Ovis aries: one gene and its partner. The protein of the gene in region 1 purifies or fractionates together with the protein of each later gene. This does not show direct contact. Links are inferred from orthologs where the notes say so. Each region holds a gene or a part of one and is shown on either strand. Other genes may lie near its edges. The genes, in order: CAPZA1 and TNKS1BP1.

Region 1 (2,870 bases):
TAGGACCCATTAAAATTTCTTGGTTTTCACATAGAAAAACTAATGTTAAATGAATTTAATACTTTTCAGAGCGTAATCTTATTTATGATCTTTCTATTCACAGTGCCAAGCACAGTGTCTGGAATGCAATAAGCACATAGTAAATGTTTATTAACTAATAATCAGTTTTTCCTGCTAAGTAAAGAGAATTCTTAAATTTAAGTGTTCTGTGAATTTCAAGCGCCATTGTAAATTACCATTGGCCATATTAATTGTTTGCTCAGAGTTGGTGAGATTGAGGGTGACTGAAGGCATGGATTTGTGCTCTAAGCAGTAAGTTTCTATGTGCTCTAAGCACTTACATTTCTTAACTTTCTTGCACAGGTTCACTATTATGAAGATGGCAATGTTCAGTTGGTTAGTCATAAAGATGTACAGGATTCAGTAACTGTTTCGGTGAGTGTGGAATATTTAATGTATGTCTCACTTGTGTCTAGTTTCTCTTTTAGATCTTTTGATCCTGAGTACTGATTCTGCCACTAGAAATGTGGTTGTTTTCATTGCTTTGATTTTGGCAGCTTGTTTTTTTTTAAGAACTTCATTAAAGACCTTATTTTATTGTTTTTAATTTTTATTGAGTATAGTTGATTTACAATGTTGTGTTCAAGTATATAGCAAAGTTATTCATATATATATATACACACACACACATATATATATATACATACCTACTTATATTTTTTAGATTCTTTTCCATTATAGATTATTAAAAGATACTGAATACAGTTCCCTGTGCTACTCATTAGGTCCTTATTTTTGGCAGCTTATAATTGTTAGTATATAACCAACCAGTTTTGTTGGTTAGTTGATGATAGTTCACAGACTGACTGAGAATAGTGATAATGGCTTTAGAGAATTCATGCTGCTTTTTCTTTCTCTCGTGAGATTTGCTCAAGGACAGTAGTATCTTCAATTGATAAATACCAGGAGGAAGGAAAGTTTGCCAAATTAAACCCTATAGGATTTATCATTCATATCATTAGAGAAACTGAACATTTTTAGAAATGTTCAATAATAGTATTGTACACTATATCTGGAAAGAAGGGACATAATTTTTTATGCATTTATAGTACTTCTTAATATTCCTAGAAATTACTGAGCTTTTGTTTATGTGTGTTATATCTATCTACCTTAGTAGAAATTAAAATTGAAGAATATTAAAAATATGTATTTTTTAATTTAAAAATAACAGGGATGTCCCTGGTACTCCAGTGGTTAAGATACCATGCTTCCACTGCAGGAAGCCTGGGTTCAATCCCCTGATGGTAAACTGAGATCCCTGGTGTGGCCAAAAAAAAATCTAAAGCAAAATATAGCATTAACAAACCCATTACTTCTTAACTTTACTTTCATGAAAAACAGCTGTATTTTTCTGAGTTAAAAAAAGTAAGTGGAAAGAATATCATTAATTTACATTTTCACAAAGTGTGTAATGTCTAACTAATAAAAGACAGCTGGATATGTGCTTCACACATTAGCTCTCAAAAAGTAATGAAGTCGTCACACATTACATAGCTTCTATGAAACTACATGCACACATTTGAAAGTAGAAACGGCAAGTAACTATGTCTTAGTATTATTATGAATAAAAAGTAGTTTTGACTCTTCTGAAAGAATCTTGGGGCATGGCCCTAGGCATTAAATCTCACCCTCTCTAATTCTGTTTACTTAAAATTGCGAAAGGAAGTGTGAGATTAAATTCATTTTGTACCCAAATCATGTAAAGTGAAATGTGATTGGTTGTCTCAACATCATAAGGAGAAAATAGAGGAGCCTATGAACTTAGAAGATATACTTGATATGTCTGAGATCATTGTTTTTATCAATTAAACCAGAGATATTGTCAAGGCATAAAAATTTCAAGACATTGTGTTATCTTTTGGGCATACTGTGGTAGATTGGAAAGAAATGTGGATTGTTTTGATGAAGACCTACCTAGATTTGGATCCCATCTTTATGATTCAAAGGCTGTATAATTTTGGTCATTATTTGAAAGAATTCTGTTTTCTTGTCTGCAAAATGGAGGTGGCAATAATAACATGTATTTCACAGGGTTGTTTTAAAAATCAAAGAAGATAATGTGCACAGGAAAACTTGAAAAACTAGATTGTTATACAAATGTTAGTTAAGATGGACTTACTCTTTAGTATCTTTTTTATTCACTACTTATTGAATTTTATTCACTGCTTAAGATTTTTTAAAATTCTTACTATTCCCTCCATTAGAATGAAGCCCAGACTGCCAAGGAGTTTATTAAAATCATAGAGCATGCAGAAAATGAGTATCAGGTAAGATAACTTGAAACTGTTTTTTATAGATCTATATAGATTTTGCTTTTAACACATTTGTTATACTTCTCTATCCTTTGAACATAAATATACATAATTATTCAGTGATACTAAGTATGGAGACTTTGCAGACCTTGCAACTTTACATTCTGCTTACAGTCAAGGTTTTGGCATTGGAAGGTACTGCAGATATATCCCCATTACCCCAAAGTAGAGCATCCCTATGAAACCTTTCCAAGGCCAAATGGTGTAAAGCGGAGAAGCATTTACCTTAGAACACATCTTGCTATCAGATGTACAGAATGATTGAGATACTCCTCAGATCCTCACAGACACAGTTCACAGCTCTGGCTTGCTTGATGGCAAGATGCTGAGTGTAGTTCCCAAGGAAGGAGCTTGGTGGGGCCACTATTACTGCTCAGGGTGCACCCTGTCCCTGTAACAGCCTCACTGCCAAACAAATGGCTAAACTCTTTTTTTTTTTTTTTTTTTTTGCTTTGGTAAAAGCAAAGTGAAAGTGGTAGTCACTCAGTTGTGACCGAC
Region 2 (3,819 bases), on another chromosome or scaffold:
GGTCCCGCTGTCCCCCGGGCAGCGCTGGGAACGTGGATGCTCAGAGCAAGGGTGCGAGCTGCTCCCAGGAGCTGGTCTGAAGCTGCCCTGGGCCTGGTGGAGTCCCACCCTGAGGCCACGCACCCAGCCAGCCAGACTCTCTAGCTTCCTTTTGCCTTTCCTTTACAAAGCCAGTTGTAAAAACACATATTTTATTTGTTTACATACTCAGCGGCACTGGGTCCCACGGGATCTTTGATCTTCACTCTAGCTCGCGCGATCTACAGTGATGACATGCAGACTTTTAGTTTCCACACTTGGGATATAGTTCCCTGGCCAGGGATCGAACCCGGGACCCCCCTCATTGGGAGTGTGGAATCTTAGCCCCTGGACCACCAGGAAAGCGCACAAAGCCAGTGTTCCTGACCCATGAACCTTGGACCCTTAGGAACTCACATGAGCTTTGGGCTTGGGGGATGCGGGTGGGCGTGGTCTGAGTGATCCCCTGGGAATGGAGCGCTGTGCATTTTGTGGGGGGAGGGCCACACGGGAGGGTCTGGGGGCCCTGGCAGTCTCGGACGCCTGAGGTCATTCTGGAGCTTCTATTGGTTGTCCTGGGGCTGTCCCTGCGCCCCGGTTTCCCCCATGGAGTGAGAGTGTCAGGCAGCTAGCGCTGACCTGGGGTCTCTCAGGGGTGGGCAGGGGCCTCCCTGAGCTTGCGTAGCAGTGACGGCTCCTGACTTTCTCTTGCAGGTTCTCAAGCCCTGGGTGCCCCCTGGTCCAGGCCTCACCTTGGAGAATGGAGGCACCCCCGGCCTGGGTCTCCCCACTGAAGCCTTGGGCTCGGGCCCCAAGTCTCCTCACCTTGACTCCCTCGAGGGGGGCTCTCCCCTTCACCCCCACCGTCCAGAGGCCCAGAGCCCTGCTGCTCCTAGGCCTCCCTCCCTGCCCCCTGAGACTCTGGGCTCCCCAGCTGCGGGCCTCCCCAAGGAAGGCTCCCACCACCTGCCTGCGAGCCCAGGGGTCCCAGCCGTGGCCGCCCCGGAGGCCCCCAGACCCGGCAGCCCCATGGTGCGGGAGCTCACGGGGCACTCCAGCCCCGAGCAGTCCCCAGCCACAGCACCCCAGCCCCTGACGGAAGCAGGTGAACTGCCGGACCTGCCTCGGACGTTTGCATCTGGGGATGGCGCGGCCCCAGGGAGTGAGGACCGCCCTGCTGGCGGCCTGGCCCAGCGGCGGTTTTCTGAAGGTGTGCTGCGGCCTCCCGGCCCAGGCCGGGAGCAGCTGGGGGGCTCGCTGGTCACCCTGCCCCAGGCCCAGGGGAGCCCGTCCGCCCTGGACCACCCCTTGGGGAGTGGGACAGAGTCCAGCTGGAGCTTGTCTCACTCCTTTGAATGGACCTTCCCCACACGGCCTACAGGCCTCGGGGTGTGGCGGCTGGACTCCCCACCGCCCTCCCCCATCACCGAGGCTGCGGAGGCTGCAGAGGCCGCGGAGGCTGGAGACGGGGCCGTGTCTGCCTGTGAGGAGGCTGAAAACTGGGCTGCGTCCACCCGGGAGGAGGCCGGAGGAGGGGCCGCAGAGGCCAGAGATGGGGCCACGTCCACCCAGGAGGAGCCTGGAGGCGGGGCCGCGTCCACCCGGGAGGAGGCCGGAGGAGGGGCTGCGTTCACCCGCGAGGACCCCGGAGACTGGGCTGTGTCCACCTGCGAGGAGGCCGGAGGTGGGGCCGCGGAGGCTGTGGAGGCCAGAGATGGGGCCGTGTCCACCCAGGAGGAGGCTGGAGGCGGGGCCACGTCCATCTGCGAGGAGGCCAGGGACTGGCCTGCGTCCACCCGGGAGGAAGGCGTGTCCCAGCCAGGGCCGGGGTCCCCGCTGGCTGCAGAGGGACCAGGAAGATCTGCTTCCCGGGGGCCGGGGGAGGACCCGGGCTCCTCCCAGAGCCCAGTGGGCGGTGGGGAGGACCATTCTCTGGAGTCCTCACCAACAGCAGGGGACCCACCTGGACCAGCCTTGCTGCAGGTAGAGATACATGGGGAACGGGAGCCCCCTCCACCCGCCCAGGAGGCCGCCCTGCGCGTCCTGGAGCCTGTCCTGGGGCAGGAGCAGCCAGTGCCCCCGGACCAGCCCTGCGTCCTGTTCGTCGACGCCCCCAAGCCCGGGCAGGCGCTGTCTGTCGAGGAGGACCCCCTGGCCCTGGCCCTGGCCGAGACCACCCGACCCAGGACAGCGGTTCAAGACCCCCGCCGGGCATCCCCCGAGCCCACAGGGCCCGAGAGCAGCTCCCAGTGGCTGGACGACCTGCTGGCCTCGCCCCCGCCCACTGCACGGCGGGGTGCCCCGTCTGAGCTGAAGGGCGCCCCGACCCCCAGCGCCTGCTCTGAGGTAAGGGGGTCCCTGGGCAGGGTTCAGGATGGAAGTCAGGGGCTTCGGGGGGCCTCGTTGTTTCAACACGGATGCCCTGTGTCGGGAGTTTGGGATCCAGCCGTGAGCAGGCACCTCTGCCCCTGCCCTGGAGGTCCGTACCGTCGGCTCAGCTGGCAGAGCAGAGGGTATGGACTGCTGCTTAGAGTCTAGTCTGAGTCCGCATCTGACCCCAGCTTCCGTCAGCTGAGTGGTCTCGGGCACATACGCCGACCTCCAAGCTTCAGAGCCCTTTCACAATGATGACATTTGCCTCATAGACTTGGGGGCTTCCCGAGTGGCACTGCTGGTTAAAAATCTGCGTGCCAGTGTAGGAGACACAGGTTCAGTCCCTGCGATGGGAAGATCCCCTGGAGGAGGGCATAGCAACTGACTCCAGTACTCTTGCCTGGAAAATTCCATGGATGGAGGAGCCTGGCAGGCTGCAGTCCGTGTGGCCGCAAAGAGTCGGACACGACTGAGCGACCGAGGACACTTAGGTTGTGTTGTGGGCAAGACAGACGTGGAAAACGCTGGGTGCAGGGCTTGGCACCCCTGAGCGTTCAGTCTGTGAGGATGGGTGGTTTCATGAAGGGCGCCAGCAGAGTCAGATAGACGTGGGTCCTGGACCCAGACTGCCGAGTTGCTGTCTTGGCCCTGTTCCTGGCCCACGTGTGAGCTTGAACACATGACTTTCCTGCCGGCACCTCAGTTTCTGCGTCTGTAAAATGGGGAGAATGGTGCTGGGCTCTACCTCGCAGGGTGATGGCTGCAGTGCTTGTGAAGTACTCAGACTAGCGCCCATCGCGAGTGCTTGGGAGTGTTGCATCTTGGAATGTTCTTACTGTGAAGTTCAGACTTGCTTTCGTAGAGGCCCAGAGGAGGCAGAGCCTTGTGCAAAGGTTACCCAGTAAGCTGGCAGCTGGGCTAGGGCCAGAGCACCGATTCCAGGGCCAGTGCCCTTTCTAAAACTACCGGGCTGCCCAGCGGTTTCAGGGATGGGGTCCAGGTGGCGTTTGAAACGAACTTTTCACGCCCAGCCCGCGGCTGGCAGGGGCGGGGCTGGGGGGAGGGAGGAGCCGGGGCCTCTGGGCGGGGCCTGGGGAACGAGCAGGAAGGAGTTAAGCCCTCTGGGCTCCCGCGGTAGGTGTGTCCGTCCGCGGTAGGTGTGTCTGTCCGCCCCGGGATGCGGTGACTCAACTGGCCCCCGGGCGGGGCGCTGAGAGCTGCAGCTGCTCTGCAGGGAGCGGGGCCAGGGCCGTTGGACAGGTCCGGGCGGGCGAGGGGAGCGGCCCGCCCCGTCCCAGCACTCGCCGCGCCCAGTGGGCCTCGGGGCGGGCGGGGACCGGAGGCCGGGACCATGGCCGGGCCCGGGGACCGGGAGCCCAGCGTGTCGGTCCTGGAGAGGCTGCTGGCCAACGCCGCGCTGCGGGACGA

Evidence for each region.
Region 2: the proteins of CAPZA1 (region 1) and TNKS1BP1 purify together in Homo sapiens (affinity purification with mass spectrometry; 3 studies listed by BioGRID and IntAct, with this or other methods). This does not show direct contact. The link is inferred for Ovis aries from reciprocal best matches to the Homo sapiens genes CAPZA1 and TNKS1BP1.

The regions. Positions count from the first base shown.
Region 1 is NC_056054.1:90,059,398-90,062,267, forward strand, and holds part of CAPZA1 (F-actin-capping protein subunit alpha-1), read left to right. Parts: intron 1-363; coding exon 364-435; intron 436-2,264; coding exon 2,265-2,327; intron 2,328-2,870. UniProt on the Homo sapiens protein: F-actin-capping proteins bind in a Ca(2+)-independent manner to the fast growing ends of actin filaments (barbed end) thereby blocking the exchange of subunits at these ends.
Region 2 is NC_056068.1:79,343,502-79,347,320, reverse strand, and holds part of TNKS1BP1 (182 kDa tankyrase-1-binding protein), read left to right. Parts: intron 1-732; coding exon 733-2,364; intron 2,365-3,819.